2 linked regions of the Elephas maximus indicus genome follow. The protein of the gene in region 1 purifies or fractionates together with the protein of each later gene. This does not show direct contact. Links are inferred from orthologs where the notes say so. Each region holds a gene or a part of one and is shown on either strand. Other genes may lie near its edges.

Evidence for each region.
Region 2: the proteins of NDUFAF5 (region 1) and NDUFAF8 purify together in Homo sapiens (affinity purification with mass spectrometry; 3 studies listed by BioGRID and IntAct, counting the BioPlex papers as one, with this or other methods). This does not show direct contact. The link is inferred for Elephas maximus indicus from reciprocal best matches to the Homo sapiens genes NDUFAF5 and NDUFAF8.

Annotation. Positions count from the first base shown.
Region 1 is NC_064843.1:53,401,877-53,413,647, forward strand, and holds the start of NDUFAF5 (arginine-hydroxylase NDUFAF5, mitochondrial), read left to right. Parts: upstream 1-6,261; 5' UTR 6,262-6,284; coding exon 6,285-6,506; intron 6,507-9,105; coding exon 9,106-9,146; intron 9,147-11,771. Other genes in the region: ESF1 homolog, read right to left, coding at 4,089-4,728. UniProt on the Homo sapiens protein: Arginine hydroxylase that mediates hydroxylation of 'Arg-111' of NDUFS7 and is involved in the assembly of mitochondrial NADH:ubiquinone oxidoreductase complex (complex I, MT-ND1) at early stages. May also have methyltransferase activity.
Region 2 is NC_064837.1:71,126,136-71,137,037, forward strand, and holds NDUFAF8 (NADH dehydrogenase [ubiquinone] 1 alpha subcomplex assembly factor 8), read left to right. Parts: upstream 1-6,353; 5' UTR 6,354-6,424; coding exon 6,425-6,508; intron 6,509-6,715; coding exon 6,716-6,826; intron 6,827-7,293; coding exon 7,294-7,320; 3' UTR 7,321-7,385; downstream 7,386-10,902. Other genes in the region: AP-4 complex accessory subunit tepsin, read right to left, coding at 1-121, 401-535, 1,108-1,186, 1,310-1,423, 1,705-1,882, 2,242-2,445, 2,717-2,788, 2,892-2,970 and 4 more. UniProt on the Homo sapiens protein: Involved in the assembly of mitochondrial NADH:ubiquinone oxidoreductase complex (complex I, MT-ND1). Required to stabilize NDUFAF5.

The sequences.
Region 1 (11,771 bases):
CCACAGAGAGGTATTAATAACAGGGGAGGCTTCACAAAGATGTCATTTGACCTGAGACTAAGCGAATGAAAGTTTTGTCAGGTGGAAAGACAGAACATAGACTTTTATTTTAGTACCACAAGGGAGTAGGAAATAATAAAAATAACTAGCTATTAAATGCGACAAAGACAAGAGGTGGCATTACCATAAGCTCTGTATATGGAATCAGGAAGTCACCACCGTAACAGTGAAAGAAAGCTATCCTGAGGTAAGCAGCAGAGTTCATTCTTAAGCAACACAGTGCTCAGAAATAACACCTCAAGGACCTAGATGCATGTACTACTGCAATATTTCTCAAGCTTCAGTCATTATCATACTATTTTCATGACTTCTGCATACCACCTATATTTTTCTTTTAATTGACTTTAAAAAAAAAAGGCTTTGTTCTAAGCAATATTCCTGAAGTCGCAGACATGATGGGACGGTTTTCAAAGGTGTTGAAATACATACATAAACTTAATATTTTAAAAATCTGACTATAATTAGAAAAACAGAAAACAATAAGTGTTGGCAACAATGTGGAGAAACTGGAACCTTCATCCATAGCTGATGAGAATGTAAAATCGTATAGCCACTGTGGAAAATAGTTCCTCGAAATATTAAGCATAAAATTACCATACGACCCAGCAATTCCACCCCTAGGTATATGCCCAAACAGACACTTGTCCATCAATTGCAGCATTACTCACAATAGCCAAAAGGTACAAACAATTCAAGTGTCCATTAACAGATGAATAGATAAATAAAACGTGGTAAATATATATGTACAATGGAATTTTAGTCATAAAGAGAAATAAAGTTCTGATACATGCTATGACATGGATGAACCTGAAAACATTATGCTCAACAAAGTACAAATATTGTATGATCCCATTTAAATAAAATTTAAAGAAAGTAAAGGTAACTAGTAATTTTTCATCTACAGGTAACTATTATTAACATTTTGGTACATAATTGGCTAAATGCTTTTCTATGATAGACTAATTTTTTTTTAATACAATTAAGTCACATCATTTATGTTATTTTATAACCTATGTTTTAAAACTTTGTATATCACAGGCATGTTTGGATATCGTAATTTAATTAATCAGACTCCTAATGATTTAGGTTACCATTTTTTTTTCTTATTTTTTTAAAACAATACTGCAAGACACATCCTTTGTACATATGTCCAATTATATATTTAGAATAAATTCTTAGGAGTCTAGGTGTGCTGGGCTTGAACATTTAAAAATAACACATACCAAACTGCAACTCCTCACATTACTTTTATCCTGCAACACTTAGAAAGTCCCTCGCACGCCGTAGTTGCTGGAATGAAAACTGTAGATAATAAACTAAAGATGGTCCTACGAGGAGTCACTTAATCGCCACTTACAGATGCGTTTTCTAGGCTCTGAAACCAACATAAGTTACCACCAGCAACATGGTAGGGTGGGAAGAATCAGAAGGCTTGACTTACACTTCCAGCTCTGTGTGTCCTCACCCAAGTCACTTTAGCCTTGCTTCCTGAGAAATATATCCTGATTTCTCGGGGTTATTAAGAAAATTAATGAGAAAAGATATGTGAAAAAATTCTGTAAAATCAATCTAGAGGCTTATATGAATGTGTCACATTAATCCAGTGTCCTAAATTAAGTGAACTTAAAGGACTCTAAACTACTTAGCTAACAAACTCAACTTTAAACTGATCTAACTGCTGGTCCCACCCTGACCTTATTTTCCAATTTTAGTAAACAGACTCCTATCCATTCTCCTCATACCTCAGTTTGCTGCCTGGCTCCACTACAAATGGAATGGGATCCCATCCTTAAACCCCTAGTTCCTGCCACCTACAATTCTGGGTACTGCCTGATATTTCCTACCTTCCCAATGTGATCTGTCAAGAATTTTCTCTGCCTTTTCATGACACTTATTCTCCTACGGTCCTGTGATTACAGGCAATTTGTCGGGGTCATCTGAACAACTAATTCTTCTTTATAACATCAATTATCAGCAACACCGACACTCAAAATTTACTGCTGCCAGAGATGACACAAAATTTTAATGTTAATTATGTAAACATGAACTAGAGTGTAGCTCCAAACAACCATTTCTCGCTCTATCATCCACTCACCCCTTCAGAGACTTAACTCATTAAACAGGACTACCAATGTCTTCTGACATGCCCAACCCTGTCTTTGCTTAAGGTCTTTCCATGTAGAATGTTCTCATCCCCAAATTTAATTTTTCCAAATCTCAATCAAAATAGTGCTTCTACGATTTTTTTCTGATTACACATTTCAAGTGGCCTTTTCTTTTGAATTCTCATCGTCTTTTGCTGAATGTCTTTTATGGCACTTACTATTATTCTATTTTGTATTACCGTTGACTAATTTCTTTTTCTATTTTAGATCTGTGTTGTTCAAACGGAAGCCCACAGACACGTGTGGCTATTGAGTACCTGAAACAGAGCTAGTTCAAACTGCAATGTGCTGTAAGTGTAAAACACACCAGATTTTGAAGAATTAGTATAAAAGAAAAAGTAAAATATTCCACTGAATTTTTAAGTGTTGATTACATGTTGAAATGGTATATTTCTTACATACTAAGTTAAATAAAATATACTATTAAAATTAATTTCATCTGTTTCTTTTTACTTTTTTAACGTGGCTACCAAAGAATTCAAAATTACAGATTTCTATTAGACATGCCTGCTTTAGTCTAGGGCCACTGTATAGAGTTTAGCAGACTGTTATTTGCAAAAAAGCTATGAGGGGAAGAGGGAGGGAAGGGGGGTACTCTCCACCCAGGGGAAAGGAATCTGTTGCTTCACTCAGAGAATCTGTTACCTCACCAAACTGAACCCTGGGAGCTCTGTGTGTTCAGAGGGGGATGTCTTTTCTAATTTGCTCAAAGGCATCATATAAGCTAGCAGTAGCTCTGAGATAGGGGACCATGCCTTACTCATGTTCTGTCTGCCAAAACCAAACCTGCTGCCATAAAGTCAATTCCGACTCATAGCAACCCTACAGGATAGAGTAGAACTGCCCCATAGAGTTCCCAAGGGGTGGCTGGTAGATTCAAACTGCTGGCCTTTTGGTTTGCAGCTGAACCCTTAACCACTGCACCACCAGGGCTCCTCTCTGCCAATAAACAAAAAAAACCAAACCCATCGCTGTGGAGTCGATTCCGACTCACAGCACTCCTACAGGGCAGAGTAGAAATGCCCCATACGGTAGATTCAAACTGCCAATCTTTTCGTTAGCAGCCTAACGCTTAACCACTGTGCCACCCGGGCTCCTATCTGTCACTAAAAAAGAAAACCAAAAAACCCATTGCTGTCCAGTCGATTCTGACTCATAGCGACCCTACAGGACATAGTAGAACTGCCCCATAGTTTCCAAGGAGTGCCTGGTAGATTTGAACTGCCAACCTTTTGGTTAGCAGCCATAGCACTTCGCTGCTATGCCACCAAAGTTTCCTATCTGCCACTATTGTTTACTAAATATGTATTTGTTGAGAAAATAAAGGAACGCATACATAATCAACTCTACTTACCTGCTTCAGACATACTGCTCATCACGCAATGATAGCATATAACACCTTCTCTAGTTATAAAATATGGCTCTCATTAGTGCCCACTACAAATCCAAGTCATTATTTAGCCTCAAACCTTCATTTGCCTGTCTTCTAGCCATTACAGAACCAAATCAAAAATTAATAATCATTTCATAGTTTTTTTTTCATTGCTCTGTACTTCCAAATAAACATTTGACCATTCTCATTATACTGGTGGCACAGTGGTAAAAGCACTCAGCTGCTAACTGGAAAGCTGGCGTTGGAATCCACCAGCTGCTCCACAGGTGAAAGCTGTGGCAGTCTGCTTCCATAAAAATTACAGCCTTGGGAACCCTACGGGACAATTCTACCCTGTCCTATAGGGTCATTATGAGTCGGAATTGACTCACCAGCAGCAGGCATCATACCATGAAAATACTTATTAAGGTATATTTGTATTTTAAAAATCAGCATAAAAAATAAAGCATCCCTAATTCTTTCCAACCAACCTGATTGTACTTCTCTTCTTGTCTCAGAACACTCGACCTTTGGTGATTTCACAACTTTAGTGATGTCGGAGTCAACTACCTTTAGTTTTCCTTTAGGAACGTAGTCTGTACTATGTTGAACAACTTCTTTTTTCTCTTTTGTACCTTTCTGTGTAAATTCTTTGCTATCCTTCTTAGGACTTATTTTTGAATCCAGCTTCTTAGATTTGAAGGACATTTTTGCTTTCTGAATTATTTCAGAATTATCTAATTCATTTTTACTTTCAGCAACCTTTTGATTAATTTTTTCAGTTTCTTTCTTTTTCTCGACTAGACTTTTTGAATCTATTCCTGTTTTAGTCTGGGGTTTTTTCTTCTTCATTTTCTTTTGGTTCAGGGCTTCGCTATCTTCATCAGAGAGATCTGAATCAGAATCCGAAAGGTCGTAGTAACGTTTCAAGTCCTCTGTAGTACTGTGGGTGATGGGGCGCCCTCTTTTATCCACAGCGTAATTCAACTTGAACTTTTTGTCATGAAACATGGCTCGAAATCTCTTGTCAATTTTGACTTTTCTATCCTTTTCTGGCATTTCCCAAAATCTCGGGTCCTTTGTAACCCGTCTAAACCGCTGATCACTCATTATTTCTTGTTTAGATGCCATTTTTAAACTTCTGGACTGGACAAATGCTTGAAGAAACCAAATACTAAAAAATAAAACAAATGTTACAATAATGAAGAGTTATGGATCTAATTAAATATTTGGAAAAATATTAATTCACAATATGCTATAAGTTAAATGAAGGTAACAAGTCTTATTTCATTTTCTCTACTTGCTCTGGGTTACATGTAGAAAAAACCATATTCAAACTATCTTTTCATTTGAAAACATTTGGAGATAAATATAAGTCAAAGCCAAGCAGAATTTCAGAGTTTTATGTTGTGGTAAATGCCTACTAACCAATGGCACTCATTTAAAACTTCTATATGTATTCCTGTTTGTGTTGTAAGTTAAAAGCTAAAGTAATTAAAAGACTTCCAAGCCTTAGTTTGTCTCCCTTATTTCTCTGCATTCTGGTCCCATTCTCACTGTCAATCCTTACCTCCTGCTACTCCCAACAGCCTCTAGTTTTACAAAGCCAGTCTCCTAACTACTTCATAAACAGATCCAAATCACTTCAGGTTTAGCTCACAAACTTCCCTCTTTAAATCCTACTATCCTTCAAGAACCAGGTAAAGTCTCACTCCAGTCAAAAAAAAAATCACAGTTTTTCTATAACATCTTACATTAGATTATTACATCAGAATAGATAGATACACACATACAAATCAGCATTGGCCCCTTGAAAAAACTGACCAATGGTTTAGCATCTCTGGATTTGATTTTTGGTAAATGCCAAAAGTGAGTTTTAAAAGTAAATAGTGACCGATCAAAGAGAATAGTTATGCTTTGTTTTAATGTTTCAAAAACACGGCTTGACTACAAAGCTGTACTTTTTTCTTAAAACAATTTCTTTAATGCCTTAACTAGGTTTCAAAGACGCATTTACACAGCTAAACAAAAATAATACTGATATTAATAACGGCGAGCTCTTACATGCCAGCTACTGTTCTGAGAGCTTTAGATGTATTATTTAACCCTCCGAGACAGCCTTCCGACGTGGACATCATCTTATCCAATTAATAAAGATAACACGTGTAAATGTTTAGAATGAAAGGTCAGATATTCGAACAGAAGGGAAAGAGATCAGACTTAGCTCCTACGCCCACCGTCATCTCCTTAGCCCACCCTGCCCTTCTACCGGTGCCTCAGGCTGAGTAATGAACCGAGTGTCCCCTTGCCCTGCAGCTATTTGGCTGAGGCCCCTAGAGAAAGCGACCATTGAGGAGGATCAAGGAAGTCTGAAAAACGAGGCCAGAAAGGCCAGGAGGAAAGGGTCCACCACTGAAGAAACCGAAGGATAGCCTGTCAGAGACTGGCTCTTCCCTCTCTACCTACCTCCTTGGGCTCAGCAACCCACACAGATTCGCGGCGCCTTCGGTGCGTCTCACACGAGACCCACACCCACAATCCTCCGCGGCACTCGGCCGTAACGGCACGCGAGCAAGGCCAAAACTACTTCGCTATTCCTTCCGCGAAGATCTATACAGTAGCCGCTAAAGCAGCGGTGGCGCATGCGCGCGACCGAAGCGCGCCGGCTAGTGGCGTCACAGTTAAAGATGCTGCGACTCGAGCAGCTCTGGCGCCTGTGGCGGCGGCCTCGGGCGGCGGGGGTCTTCGCGGGAAACCTCAGCCGCAGGGAGGTGGCTTCTGGCGTCTTTCCCCCGGGTGGTGCCTCGCCTAGAGCTCTGAATATTTTCGACCGGAATTTGAAGAGGAAACAGAAGAACTGGGCCGCTCAGCAGCCCGAGCCGAAGAAGTATGACTACCTGAAGGAGGAGGTGAGAGCGCGGGGGTCGGGGAAGGGCGGCGCCGAGGCCGGGCTGCGGATCCGGGAGCTGGGGCCGGGCCCTGACCCCGTCTTGCTGTGTGACCTTGGGCAGCCGCCCTGCCTCCCTGGGCCTCTGCTCTAATCACGGGAGGGTGGGGCTCGGGTGTTCGGAGTGTTTTACTCATTCATTCGTTCGTTCATTCATTCACTCAGCAAATATCGCTTGAGGTACAGCTGTGACCAGGGCAGAGCAAGAACGCGGTTCTCATAAGGCTTGCGTTCTTCGAGGGAGGTGGGATGGGGGCGGAGCGGGCGAAACAGACCCTAGGCAAGAAACAAATTAACCAATACGGCGATTTCAGTTAGGTCAGGAAAATTAAAAAAAAAAAAAGTTAAATGATGATGACTGTTGTGGTCAGGAATGGCCGCTGGGCAGGAGACCCGATGAAGAATTTCGTAGTCAAGCTGAGGGAGGCAAAGGGAAGGACAAGTGCAAGGTGCCTGAGGCCAAAGGGACCTTGTTGAGTCTTCAGCGACGGTGGAGCTTAGAGCTCTAGTGAGTGGGAGAGGTAGTCAGGAGGGCCCAAGTCATTAGGGCCTCATAAGGTAAGGGCTTTGTACTCTGTGTGCTGTCCATCCATTAGGGTAGCCCTGGCCGCATGTGGCTTTTGAAACGCTTGAAATGTCGCTAGTCCAATCGAGATGCACTTTAGGTGTAAAATACACACTGAATTTCAGTGAGGAAAAAAATCATGTAAAATATCTCTATTTTATATTGATTCCTTGATGAAATAATCAAATTTTTGATATATTGGGTTAAATGAAATATATTATTCAAACTAATTTTTCCCTTTATGTTTTTAAAAGTAGCTACTAGAAAAGACTAGAAAATTCAAAAGTACACATCGTTTTCATTTGTATTTTTTTTTGAATTTTTATTGTGCATTAGGTGTAAATTTATGGAGCAAATTGATTTTGTTCCCTGACATTGTTGTCATTCCCCACCATGTGTCAGCACTCTCCCCATTTCCATCCTAGGTTTTCTGTTTCCATTTGTCTTGGTTTCCTACCCCTTCCTGTCTTCTCATCTTTGCTTTTGGGCAAATGTTGCCCTTTTGATCTCATGTAAGAGTACGTTGCTCTTGGGTATTATTGTTTATTTTGTGGGCCTGTCTGTGGTTTGGTTGAAGGGTGGTCTCTGGGAATGGCTTCAGTTCCAGTTCAGAAGGGTGTCGTGGGCCATAGTCTCCAAGGTTCCTCTAGTCCTTGTCAGACCAGTAAGTCTGGTCTTTTTTGTGAATTTGATTTTTGTTCTACAGTTTTCATCCCACTCTGTCTGGGATCCTCTGTTTTGATCCCAGTCAGCTGTCGGCAGTGCTGGCTGGGCACCATCTAGTTTTTCTGGTCTCAGGGCTGTGTAGGCTATGGTTCGTATGGTCCATTAATCCTTCGGACTAATTATTCCCTTGAGTCTTTGGTTTTCTTCACTCTCCTTTGCTCTGGACCACAGAAGACCAATAGTTGTATCTTAGATGGCTGCTCACAAGCTTCTAAGATCCCAGGCACTAATCACCAAAGTAGGATGCAGAACTTTGTCTTTATGAACTATGTTGTGCCAGTTGACGTAGATGTCCCCTGAGTCTATGGTTCTTCGCCTTTGAGCCTAGGAACTTCGTCCCGTGAGGTATTTGGTTACATCTAAAACGTTGCCCTAACTGTGGCCCTTGTGTGCTCTATTGTCTGTATGAATATATAAGCAACACATTCAGTTATGTACGTAGAAATATCCACCACTAAACTTATATCTGCAGGTGAGTGTGTTCCCTTACACCCTCTCACAACTGGCTTTCTTTTAAGGCAAAACTGACCAGTCCCGTTGGTAGGCCGCAATTACGGTCATAAATTGATTTGCATCTCACTTTTTTAATGGCTTTTTTTTTAATGGCTTGGCAAAGCTGTGGTTAAGAGCTCAGGCTGCTAACCAAAAATATTGGCAGTTCTGATCCACCAGCTGCTCCTAGGAAACCCTATGGGGCAGTTCTATTCTGTTCTATAGAGTTGCTATGAGTCAGAATCGACTCAACGGCAATGATTTTTTTTTTTTTTAACGGCTAATGATCGCGAACATTTCTTCCTGTGTTTATTAGCCATCTGAATGTCTTCTTTGGTGAAGTGTCTGTTCATATCCTTTGCCCATTTTTTAGCTGGATTGCTTGTCTTTTTATTGTTGAGGTGTTGAAGTATTCTCTAGACTTTCGAGATTAGACCCTTGTGGATATGTCATAGCCAAAAATTTTTTCCCGGTCTGTGGATTCCCTTTTTCACATGAAATATAAAGGATACGTTATATATGTGTGTATATAACATACGTATGTTGTTTCATCGACAGCAATGGGATTTTTTTTTTTTTTTTTTTTTTTTGCGGCGGGGGATTATTTTGAAATAGAGGAGAAACTTGCTGTGGTCAAATAGAAAAAGGGATTAAGGGAAGTACTTCTCTACCAGTTGAAACGTAAGTAACCTGTGGATTGTCGAATGCTGTGAAAAGTGTTACTTCTCTGTTAAGCCTGCTCATCTTGTGTGTATCATTGCCTCTTGTTATCCTTCAGGTTGGAAGTCGGGTTGCAGACCGTGTATATGACATAGCCAGGTAAGTGATGGTTACTTAGTAAAATTTAGTCACCTTTCAGCTGGAGACTCAATATATTAAATGTTGAGAGCTCAATACCTGGAGTGGCAAAATGTGGAGGAAATTATTACCAGGAGTGGTGATAATCACTCTCTAGTTGTTTCTTTATGTCTGAGAGAGCAAATGTTCTTTCCTTCGTTGTTGCCTAAAAAACAAATGACTGCAAGCACAACTCACGGCTTGTCTCCAGGCCTGAATGACTGATCCTCTTGATTTGGCCAAAAGCCAGTAGTGGAAGGATTGCTCCAAAAATGGGCATATAGGATTGGCTGCATGTGAATATTGAAGATTTACTAAACCTAGCTTTACATGTTTAACTAAACTTAGCAATAGAGTCTTTTATCATCTAAGAGAAGGAGAGAGTCTGCCTAGATTCACTCTCCAATTTGATTATATGGGACTTTGGCCACTTTATCTTGAACATTGTTAGTGGTAACAAGGTTGTATGAGGAAGATTCAAGAAAAGAACACTTTCATGAAGTATTATTGAAACCTTGGTGAATTCATTGCTTAATATTAGATACAGTGAAAGATCTGTGGACTGGAGTTGACAGCCATGTGGCAGATGCTGTGTGATGTTAGGCAAATTTTTGTACTCTTAGGTTAAAAGACCATCCGTTAATTCAGACCAAGATGGGATTAATTTATTGGATTTGTCTATAATAAAGGAAATTTCGTAAAATCATGAACTCTTTCAATCGTATTTTAGATACTTCCGTGCTGCTTTTGGGATGCATTAATTTCATAAGACAAAATGCTTCATTGTCTCAAATAATTGCCCCCATTTCATTTGTTTCATTGGTTCCATTTATAGATCTGAAAAATAGCTAATTCTTAATAATTTCCTTTCTTATGCCTGGATTATAGCCCATTTGTGATTTAATAAGTGAAAAATTAGGTTTTGCAAATCTGTTTGGATTTTACAATCTTTATGTCATAGTACTGAGCAAAACACAGGTCTATGGAGAGACCTAGGATTACGGCTAAAAGCATGTCTTCAACTAACATTAACTCTTTGGAATTGAATTATTAAAAATATCAGTCTAAATTAATATTCTTTATTTATGTTCTGGTATTAGAAAAAAGTTTTTATTGTCAGCACTGATGTCGTTGATTTTTTAAAAACTAACTGCACAGATTATTGTCTTATTTGTGGATTCAGAGGCTCACTAGTCACAAAACTGATAACTAGCTCCTATTGAGCATTTGTACTGTGCTAAATGCTTTATGCACACTGCCGTTGTGTGTGCCGTCAAGTCTGTTCCGACTCGTAGTGGCCCTATATGATGGAGTAGAGCTGCTTCTAGGCTGTAATCTTTACGGGAGCTGATCACCAGGTCTTGTCTCCTGTGGAGCCTCTGGGGGTTCGAACTACTGACATTTCGTTTAGTAGCAGAGCACTTAACTATTGCGCTACTAGGGCTCCTTTTACGTGCATCATTTTTTATAACTTGCACCAACTCTGAGGTACGCAGTAATTTTTCTGTTTTTTAGATGGAAACTGAGATCTATCAAGGTTAAATCACTTGCTTCGTTTACAGAGCCAATAAATTTCAGGCCCAGAATTCTGACTCAGGTCTTTCTGATTCCAAAGCCTGCATACTTTACAACTGTGCCACATTGTCTGTGTTCATAGTCCAGATACAGGGCACTAGGTTAGTAAATCACCAGTCGTGTTCTCCAACTCTGTGTTGGTGTTCTGTATTTTTGACATAGATTTTTAACAGAAATTGAAAAGGGATTCTTTCTGTTCCGATTTTCTGGGAAAAATAATATTAGCTGATAAAATTTTAAATTTTATTGTCACAACTTTTTCTTTAACCTATGACCTACAGTTAGAAGTTTGTACTAATTTAGTATGATACAGTATGTTTAGAAGAGACAGTATAGCATAGGAAATAATAGTTCTGATTCAGGATTCAAGGACTGGATTCACGTACTGACTCTGCCACTTATTAGTTGAGTGATCTTGGGTTGGCTTACGCTCTTGGAACACTTAGCACAGTGCTTTGAGCCTGGTAAGTTTTCAATAAACTCTTATTTTTTTTTTTTTAGTTTAACTTGTTAATACTTCATGGCAGTTCACAAAGAACATCTGAGTGATCTGATACATAAACAAATTTGAAAAATAGAGATATTTACTAAGGCCCTGATAGGTATATTCACTATACTCATGTTAATTTATATTAGCTTCTTTTCATACTTTACCTGAATGTATTATAAAATTTAAAAACACCATTTAAGGTATTTTAGAAATCCATATCATGGAGCAGCCTTATGAGACCAAACCCATTGCTGTTGAGTTGGTTTTGACTCATAGCAATCCTATAGGACAGAGTAGAACTGTGCCATCTGGTTTCCAAGGAGCTGGTGGATTCGAGCTGCCAACCTTTTGGTTAGCCGCGGTAGATTCACTATGAGGTTTGTGAATGGCAGGCCAGTCAGACTTGCTTCATACATTATACTTCCTGGTAGATATAGCTTGTAAGGCAAGGTATATGATGTGACTTTCTGAAAATTGAGTTCACTAGAATGTTTTTACTTAAGAAAAATTAGTTTTTAATTACTATGCATCACATGTATATC
Region 2 (10,902 bases), on another chromosome or scaffold:
CGTCAGTCAGCAGGTCGGGAGGGCAAGCCTGGGCATGCACAGGCACTGTGGGGCTGGGCTCGGCCGGGAGCCTCCGTGGAGAGGGTTGGTGCCGGCAGGAAGCTTCAAAGTGCCTCAGGATCTGGAAATCCGGGAGAGAGAGGAGGCTGGGGCCGGGGGGTCCCGCAGAAGACAAGGCCCCAGCCCCTGAGTGCCTCTCCAAGTGCCACAACACAGAGCAGGGCCAGTTCTGGGGCACCAGTTCTGACGGCCCTCCCCCGCAGATGCCCAGGCCGTGCTGCGTGCACCGCCTGCATTCTCCCTTCCACGGCCATCATGCCAGTGAGCGTGTCCTGACATCTTCGTTCTGACGACGTGACGTCCCGCAGAGCCACGCACAGGGCAACCCCCCGGTGCTCACCTTGGTGGCCTTGTTGGTCACAGGCCCGGGGCTGCCCACACTGAGTTCTTGCAGCCGTGGCCGGGCCAGGAAGAGCACGTGATCCTGGGACAGCAGGTCAGCGCCACCGATGGCGGACAGGGCACACAGGGCTCTCTGTGGGAGAGTGGGATGGGGGGGCTCGCACCACACACTTCTTCCTCCTCCCCTTCCCCAGCCGGCCTGGACAGTGAGGAGGGAGGGACCACCAGGCAGCACAGTCACTCCCAGAGGAGGACGGCCTGGTGGCTCTCTCCGACTTCTCACTGTGGGACCAAGCACAGGGTCACCCAGGTGGCCACTGCAGACCCCACCCTGACCCCCAGCACAGAGTCTGGGGAGGCTGAGGAGTCAGGGTGGAGACGCTGCCCCTTCCCCCCCACCCCTCTGCATACACGCATGCTCTCACGCACATACATACACCCATGCCTGCACACGCGAGCATTCAGACACACACACTAGTACACACACATGTACACACACAGAGAACATCGACACATACATATACATGCACACTTGTGCACATAAGCACTCATGTACACACACGCACATGTCCGTGTACGTAGGCACACTCACGTATACACATACACACATGTATGTACATGCACACTCACGCATGCACATCTACACACACACTTGTGCACACACAGGCATACGCCCCACTCCAGCCCTCCTCGCCAGGCCCTCACCATCTGCTCACACTCTTGGGCCCCAGCCAGGTGGCGGGTCAGCAGCTCCAGCACGGCCTCGCAGTTGAGCCGCCCACACCTGCACAGAGGGACAGCTGGGCCAGGGGCTGGCCAAGGGGTGACCACGGCCAGACCTGGGCTTCAGGGGAGCATGTGGGCCTGTGGGTGTCCCCCCTCCCCGCAGCAGGCAGTGGGTGCTCACTCCTTGAGGAAGTGCTGGATCTCCTCATGGCTCAGGAAGGCACGTGATCCCTGCATCACAGCCCTCACCAGGCTCGCCTCCTGCTGGCAGTCGCTCAGGGCCACAGCCTCAACCCTGTCAGACAGATGGACAGACAGACAGGCGGACAATCAGCTCAGGGAAGAGTCAGAGAGGAATGGCCCCTGCTAGACTGCAGACCCCTCCCTCCTCCCCAAGCTACAGTGAAATACTAGGGAAGGGCCAGGAAGTGGGGACCCAGGCAGGGAGGATCCAGGGAGGGGGAACCCAGGGAGGAGGGATCCGGACGGGGGATCCAAGGAGGGAAGAGGGGATCTAAGTGGGACTGGACTAAAAGAGAAAGGGGCTGTCCCCTGATGCCTGGCCACGCCCCTCACCTCTCCACCAGCTCGCCAGGCTCCCGGCCCACCCTTGAACAGCCATCACTGACACAGCCGCTACCAGAGTCAGAGGCCCTGCTCTGGCTACCATTCTCCTGGGAAGACCCTCGGGAGCTGGGGCTGCTGTCTGGCTCCTCCCAGCCGCCCCCAGGCTGCCCTGGCTGGTGTCTCACAGCTGCGAAAGACAGAAGGCAGGTCAGTCCCAGGGACCTCATACTGCCCCCTAGACTCACAGACCCCTGGAGAGACCCGGGGACAGCCTGGGAGGAGCTGTCGCCCAGCTCAGTTGTGAGTCACCCTGTGTGGTGCTTTGGGGACAGGGCTTGGCCGACAACCCCACTGGGGATTCCCTTCATCTCTAGCCCGCCCTGGCCCAGGGGCTGTGTCTTCCTGCATGTGGGAACACTGTGGCTGTCCCATGGCTCTGATGCCCCTCCAGCCCCCAGAGGTGAAGGCCGCCCCCCTTTAAGGCTTGTCCCCCGCCGGGCCACAGGGAGGGAGAGCTAGACTCCAGCGAGGTCCCTGCCATGGAACCTCGAGTGCCTGGGCTGGCCCCTGGGAGCAGCCTCCCAGGAGAGGGGTGGCTGTGGCTGGCTGATGGTGTCACAGCGGGTTGGTAGGTGTCATCCCCCAGCGTGGACCTCTGCGCACCAGGCTGCTCATGCCCAGGACGCATGGCGTTAGCCACCACCTCTGCAGCCTTCTGGATCGTGGAGAGGAAGGCTTCCCCCACAGAGCCTGTGTCGGGAGGGGAAATAGAATGGTGCTGGTCCCTCACCTCATTCTCCGGGCATGCTGTTGCTATGGAGCACTTCTGTCCCCACCCCACCCTCCTCATGGCCCAGCAGAAGGTCAAACCCAGGTGGACAGAGAAGACGAGGGAGGTTAGCATGCCAGGGTAGAAGAGGCCAGCTGGCTGCCCCGGCCCTTCATGCCATGCCCTTGGGGGCAGCTGGGCCAGCCTGGAGCACTAGCTCCCATTCCCCAGGGGGGCAGCCACAGGACTCACCTGTACGGCCCCTCTCATGGCTGTAGCCGAAGCCCTGGAGGGTGCTGTGGGGCCGGGGCTGGGAGCCCATGCCTAGGGGAGGAGACCCTGGGTCAGCACTGTAGCCCCCCTCTGCAGCACACACGCATACTGGGGATGCAGAGCCCAGGATGGCAGGGAGGGGCATGTCACGTACCAGTGGGAGGCAGCAGCCTGGGGACTCGGGGGGCAGACAGCGGTGACACCGCATCTGAGAACAGGGCGCTGTCCAAGTCCTAAACAGGAGCCGGAGATTATTTAGGCACGCCGCACCACACCCCTGCCCCCCTGTCCCCCCACCCCTCCACGCCACCCTCCCCCACTCTCCACAGTCCTAGAACCACCTGCACCTCCTCTGCACTGTACAGGCTGCCAACGGGGCTCTGGGGCGGGGGCAGGGGTTCCAGGCCAAGCAGAGCCCAGGGTACCCAGGTCGGGGGGAGGGAGAATGAAGCTACTGTGCAGTGTGGAGGGGAACAATGGCCCGGAGGAGGCGACTCACCTGGGCGGCCAGCCGGACCTTCTGGTACAAGCTGTTCCCGTGAAGAGGGTCGGGGGGCCCAGTGAAGACTGCAGACAGAGGAGAGGCGGTGCTCAGTCTGGCACCAGGTGCCCTGGGCACCAGGCGGGCACACTCTGGAAGCCCACCCCGGGGGGAAGCAGAGCGCGTCACCCCATCACAGCTCCACCCCCCAGTCTGGGCTGCAAGGCTGCTGCGCTTAGAGGGGGTGCTCTCAGCCCAGACGACACGCCCGCCCGCACCGGTGGCCTCCTGGATGAAGGCAGAGTTGCGCTTCAGGATGCCCAGGAAGGACGAGGAGCCATGGCTGCACAGGTAGAGCAAGATCTTCAGTACCTGGGGTTGGAAGAGCTATGTGGGCAGGCAGCCGGCAGCAGCCGCCTCCACCCTGGGCAGTTCACCCGCCTCCCCTCCCCTCCCACCTTGAGCTTCACGTGGCCCGAGCTGCTCTGCAAGCGCCTCAGGAGGTACTCCAGGAGGCACTGGCTGCTCCCCAGGGACTCGTGGGAGATGTCTGGGTGTGGGGTTAGGGAAGGAAGGCAGGCTATCCCGTCACTTCGGCCTGCTCAGCACATGCTCCCCCAAGGGCCCGTGTCATCGGAACACCACGTTCGGACCTGCCCGCACCTGACTATGGGTGCAAGCACCCGCGGAGCCCACCTCGGGGTAGCAGAAGAACCCCAGTAATCTCTGGGCCACTCAGGGCCCTGATGCCCACTCCCCCAACCCAGACACCCAGGAAGGATACTAGCAATCTCTTCAAACAAGTAGCCAGGACATGGGACGTCATCATCCGACGTGCCTTTCAGGAGGACTGGAAGCTGGAAAGAGCAAGAGGCCCTGCGTGAGGAGCCACCCACGTGGGTGAGCCCACAGCCACTGCAGGTGACGAAGCTCCGGAAACTCCTGAGACGTGCCATCCCAGTGCTTGGTGCTTTAGGGGCGCCAGCTTCCAGCTATCTCACTGTTGGCACACCCATCAGGGAAAGGATCCGGGGCAGTGGCTCTCCAAGCAGGTCGAAACAGGCACCGCAAATGGCCCCCACCCACAGCCGGGCAGCACAATTCAAAGTGCCTTTAATGCGCTGTCTACGGCCAAGCAGGAGAAACAAGCCTGGCGGCAAGCCCTTCCCACAAAAATACAGCACGCGGCTCAGTCTTTACAGAGCTTGAAGTGGCAACATTACAGAACTGCCTGGGCTGACGGACCCAATCACTCCACCTCCGCCACGGACCTCACAGAACTACCCTGCACCCAGCTTACCTTGTGTGTTTACGTTTGCCCGTCAGCACAAGCGGATGTTCATTTACGGCACACACTTATCTATCAGCACCAGAACTAGTTGCCACTGAGTTGACTCTCCATTCGTGGTAAACCCACGTATCGGAATAGAAGTGTACTCCACAGTGTCTACAATGGCTGTGACCTTTCAGAACCAGGTCGCCAAGCCTTTCTTCCGAGGTCTTTCAGCACCCACTCAAAGGCCACTGCTGTAGTCGATTCTGACCCATGACCCTGTAGAATATAGTAGAACTACCCCATAGAGTTTCCAAGGCTGTAACCTTTATGGAAAAAGATTACCACATCTTTCGTGAGGATTGACTGGTGGGTTAGAACCCCAGCCTTTCGATTAGCAGCTGAGTGCTTTAACCAGTGTGCCACACACACACACTGTGGCTATTAGCAAGAAATGCACTATTTACAGGGATAGAACATCAACCTCTCATTAGCCAACGTGTCGTTCACCTGATCCTAAACACAGGAGAGTTTGGGATTGTTTAAAGCAGTGAGTACGTAGACCCCGTGGGTGCTAAGCACGTGACACGGTACAAACGGGCGCCGCTAGTATCGTGTCAGCGCACGATAACGTGTCTGGGTGATGCTAAGTGGACAAGGCAGGATGGGCCAATGCAAACACGGCTCACGTGCCAACCAGACCTGGAGAGAGCCTAGGGGGTCTGTATATGTGGGTTCAATGCCCGCCACGTTTTTTTCTCCTTAAAGCTGTTTTAATTTGGGAAAGAAAGTAGACTTTCGCAGCCTAGAGCTCCCACTTTCCCGGCTGAGGTCCTTCAGAAAGAGATGGCTTCAACCCCAGAGCTGACACCAGAGTCGGAGTGATGCGCCTATCGGAGTGATGTGCCTGCGTTGTACACGGGGGTGTCCCAGCCTTCAGGAGAGACTCAGACCTCAGCAGGAGGCAGAACACGGGGGGCAGGAGAGGAGCTGGGAAGGGGACCGAGGCTGGGGGACCGGGAGGCTGGACACCAGGGAGGAGAGGAGGCGACAGACGGGACCGAGGCCGGAGGACCGGGAGGCTGGCCACCGGGGCAGAGGGAGACCACAGAGAGGACCGAGGCTGGGGGACCGGCAAACTGGCCACCCAGGCAGGGAGGAAGCGACAGAGAGGACCGAGGCCGGGAGACCGGGAAGCTGGATACCAGGGCGGAGGGAGGCGACAGAGGGGACCGAGGCCAGGGGACCGGGACGCTGGACCCCAGGGCAGGGAGGAGGTGACAGAGGGGACCGAGGGTGGGAGGCTGGCTGGCGGGATGGGGACTGAGGCCGGGGCCGAGGCCAGCGAGGGCCTGAGGAGGGGCTGTGCGGTGCGCGGCGGCTCCAGGCCCTGCGAGCACCGGGAGGGCGGGCCGGGCCCAGAAGCGGCGGCATGCGGTGACCCCGAGGCGGGCGGCCCGCGCGGGGAGAAAGCAGAGCAGGGGGAGGACCTGACAGACCTGACAGACTGCGGACACTCACCCGGTGCAGGAAGCTCAGGCGGTCCCGCAGCGGCGGCGCTGCCGCCATAATGCTGGCCACCTCCTGGCCACGCTGCTTCCGCCAGGCCCAGACCCGTCCAATCACCGCGCGGGGCTGGCCCAGTTGGCCAACCGCTCGCGGTGGGGCGGGCACTGGGCTGGCTTCGGTAAACAATTTGAGCATAAACCAATCCAAAGTCCCAGAGCAAGAACAGACAAGGACACAAGCCAATTGCAAGACTCTGAGAGACCAGCCGCGGCTCTGGAGGCGGTTGTGGAGGGCGAAGGTCGAAGTCTACCAATTAGAGAGCTCGGTGTAGGTCAGGGCGGAAGTGCGCTTCTCTGAGGCCGCTGGCGCCGGAAGAGGACGGACCCAAAATGGCGGCTCCCGCGGGGGCCCGGATCGGTCGTTCATGTCAGCGAAGGGAGCGGTGTGGAGTCGCGTGCGAGGCCGCCTCCGCGCTTTCCCCGAGCGCCTGGCGGCCTGCGGGACCGAGGTGAGGACTAGGCAGTGTCTTCGGAGCAGGAAGGGCCGCGCGGGGAGAAGAGCGGAGGGCGATGGGGCTACTCCCGGGCAGGAAGGGCCGCGCGCAGCGGAGGGCGGTGGGCGAAGCCGAGACCCGGAGGGACCCTGGGAGCGGAGGGCGGTGGGACGAGTCTGGCGCCGAGAGGACCGCCGCGACCCGCGCCCGACTCCTCTGCAGGCCGCGGCGTATGGCAGGTGCGTGCAGGCCTCCACTGCCCCGGGCAGCCGCCTGAGGAAGGACCTCTGCGCACAGGAGTTCGAGGCCTTGCGGAGGTGCTTCACCGCCGCGGTAGGTGGGCGCCGGGAGGCCCGAGAGGTCAGGAGGGAACCCGAACCGGTGGTCTGCCTGCTGCCCACCTGCCCGCCTCCCCAGGGCTTTCCACCCGGGGTTGTAGCCCTCCCTCTCATTCCTTCAGTGCTCGAGCGCCTGCTGCTGCTTTAGACGTCGGGACACCATAACAGTCAGCCAAAAAGTCCACAAAACTCTTTTGTTTTCGTGGAGTTTACGTGTTTATTAGAAGACGATGACATTAACCTGAGAAACCATCGGAAAATTAGCAGAGATGATGAGGGCGGTGGGGGGTCACCTTACCAACACCCTGGTGTTTTGGGGTTCACACAGCTGAGCCTCCTGCCACAGCCTCGTTTCTTAAGTCCAGTTTGGTCAAGGAAGACCTTTGTGGTGGGAGTTTTCTTGCTTTGGAGCCATATCTAACCTGAAAACTACCTGTGCTGACAAAGTACCTTCTTTTTCAGGCCAAGACCGTGAAGGGAGGCTGCTAGGAGGGACCAGCCCACCCAAGCTGCACAGAGCCAGGCCCAACCTTGCCAACAGCACGTGGCAGCATTTAACACTGAGGCTGAAACCTAGGCATGGAGACTTCGGCTCTCAAATGGGCCTGCGTCTCTGCAGGGAGAGCTGCAGAAAGAGGGGGAGTGGGTTTCCCAGCAAGAATGTACAACAGGGTGTGGGACAGAATAAAACATACTTGAACTAAAAGACAACCGGTACAGATTCTGTTTGACTGTGCAGGGGGCAGGGCAGGGAACAAGGATGTACCAGGAATAAAATTAGAAGTGCCACCTTAAGGGTTAAAGTAATAATTGTGAGGATGGTGCAGGACTGGGCAGTGTTTCCTTCCATTGTACGTGGGGTGGTTAATCAAAACAAACTCCACGGCACCGAACAGCAGCAAACCATGAGGGGAAAAAAAATCCATGCAGTAGAGAATCCTACAGCTGACTTTCCTGGTCCCAGGAAAAGGTGGGGTCACACTTCCAGACTAACAATGGGCTATAAGGGGGACCCCTTACCCCTCCTTTTGCTACCTCCTCTTGGTATCAGGAGCCCAAGTTCATCACTGACATCTCTCTTGCCCAGTCCAGCTCCCCATCCTCTCGTTCCATGAGCTAAAAGGGAGATCAGAAGTGCAGAACCCGCCCCGGCCGTACATTTAAATAGTCTAAAGCCCACAGGCCATCGGGGTCCCAAAAATCCTGGGCACGCTGGGAACTGCTTTGAGTGGGCATCCCCTCTCATGCAGCAGCCTACTCCAGATGCCAGAGCATGGCTCACTAGGCCCAGTGAGCAGGAGTAGCCCTGCAACCCAGCGAGCCCAGGCCTGTTTTCAGGCCCTCACCTGGCCCATTTCTAAATTCTATTCCATAATCAGTCCCCTCTCCCCAGGTGTGGAGACCCTCTCGTCCTTGATCCACCTGAGGCTTTGTTCCAGGCGCCTGACGCCCTTGGATCTACCCCACCAGTAGTGGCACGTTTCAGAAAGCACTGGGTGCTCCCAGGACTCTGCCTGTCTCTCTGCGGACAGGTGAGAAACAAGCCAGCATGTGCCAGGCAGGCAGCGCTGTTCCAGCCTCCTGGGAGAGGAGGGGATGGTGGTACCTCCCAACAGAAAAGGGTCCAGAAAACTAGGTTAGCAGGAAAATCAAGGCAGAAATAAAATCCCACCCCAGGTAATATCCTCCTAGACAGCTGGGGGCTGTCTAGGGGGATATTACTGGGCACTGGTTCCTCCAGGGTCACTTCTAATGAAGGGCCGGAGGCACCCTGTGCTGGTGGAACGTGTCCCTGGACTCATGAACACCCAGAACCTGTGTGACCACACGGGACACGGGTCTCTGGGTGAGGCCAACCTGGGGTCGGGGGAGCGTCTTTCAGGTTGTTGTTGTTAGGTGCCGTTGAGTCAGTTCCAACTCATAGGCGACACTATGCACAACAGAACGAAACACCGCCGGGTCCTGCGCCATCCTTTCAATCGTTGTTATGCCTAAGCCCATTGTTGTAGCCACTGTGGCAATCCACCTCGTTGAGGATCTTCCTCTTTTCCGCTGACCCTGTACTCTGCCAAGCATGATGTCCCTCTCCAGGGACTGATCCCTCCTGACAACAAGTCCAAAGTATCTAAGACGCAGTCTCGCCATCCTTGCCTCTAAGGAGCATTCTGGCTGTACTTCTTCTAAGACAGATTTGTTTGTTCTTCCAGCGGTCCATGGTATATTCTATATTCTTCGCCAACACAATTCAAAGGCATCAATTCTTCGGTTTTCCTTATTCATTGCCCAGCTTTCACATGCATATAATGCGATTGAAAATACCATGGCTTGGGTCAGGCGCACCTTAGTCTTCAAGGTGACATCTTTGCTCTTCAACACTTTAAAGAGATCCTTTGTAGCAGATTTACCCAATACGATGCGTCTTGATTTCTTGACTGCCGCTTCTATGGCTGTGGATTGGGGATTCAAGTAAAATGAAATACTGACAACTTCAATCTTTTCTCCGTTTATCATGATGTTGCTCATTGGTCCAATTGTGAGGATTTTTGTTTTCTTTGTTGAGGTGCAATCCATACTGAAGGCTGTGGTCTTTGATCTTCATTAGTAAGTGCTTCAAGTCCTCTTCACTTTCAGCAAGCAAGGTTGCGTCACCTACATAACGCAGGTTGTTAATGAGTCTTCCTCCAACCCTGATGCCCCGTTCTTCATATAGTCCAGCTTCTCGTATTATTTGCTCAGCATACAGATTGAATAGGTATGGTGAAAGATTACAACCCTGACACACACCTTTCCTGAATTCAAAACATTCAGTATCCCCTTGTTCTGTCCGAAAAACTGCCTCTTGATCTATGTAAAGGTTCCTCATGAGCACAATTAAGCGTTCTGGAATTCCCATTCTTCGCAATGTTATCCATAATTTGTTATGATCCACACAGTTGAATGCCTTTGCATAGTCAATAAAACACGGGTAAACATCCTTCTGGTATTCTCTGCTTTCAGCCAGGATCCATCTGACATCAGCAATGATATCCCTGGTTCCACGTCCTCTTCTGAAACCGGCCTGAATTTCTGGCAGTTCCCTGTCAATATACTGCTACAGCCGTTTTTGAATGATCTTCAGCAAGATTTTGCTTAAGTGTGATATTAATGATATTGTTCTATAATTTCCACATTCGGTTGGTTCATCTTTTTTGGGAATAAGCATAAATATGTATCTCTTCCAGTCAGTTGGCCAGGAAACTGTCTTCCATATTTCTTGGCATAGACGGATGAGCACCTCCAGTGCTGCATCTGTTTGTTGAAACATTTCAATTGATATTCCATCAATTCCTGGAGCCTTGTTTTTGGCCAATGCCTTCAGAGCAGCTTGGACTTCTTCCTTCAGTACCATTGGTTCCTGATCATATGCATCTCTTGAAATGGTTGAACATCGATTAATTCTTTTTGGTATAATGACTCTGTGTATTCCTTCCATCTTCTTTTGATGCTTCTTGCGTCGTTTAATATTTTCCCCATAGAATCCTTAATTATTGCAACTCAAGGCTTGAATTTTTTCTTCAGTTCTTTCAGCCTAAGAAATGCCAAGCGTGTTCTTCCCTTTTGGTTTTCCATCTCCAGCTTTCAGACAGAAATGACAATTATTTCAGAAGGTGCAGGTGAAGAGCTGTGTGGTGAGGTTTCTGAGGAACGTCTCAAAGGCTAGTCCTCCTCACAGCTGGGCATCCTACATGTAGTCAGCACACAGCCCCCACGCCAGCCCAGCACATAAGGTTTGGGGTGTCTCCACCAGGATAAGGGCAGGCACCCGTGCAGACACACCACCGCCTGGGGCCTCAGTGGACCTCTGCCACCGATGCGTCTCCCAGACGGCGTGTGTGACCACCAGCTTTTCTGAACCCTTAAAAAGCACCACCCTGCACCTAGGGAGGCTGTGTTTATGGTGAGGTGCTGCACCCTCCTCCCAAGACAATGGACCACCGAAGAGAAAGGAAGCACCATCTCCAGTGGGGATGCCCTGGACTTGCTGCCCCTTCCTGTAGCGTGCCTACCCAACAGTGATATTGGGCGGGGAGA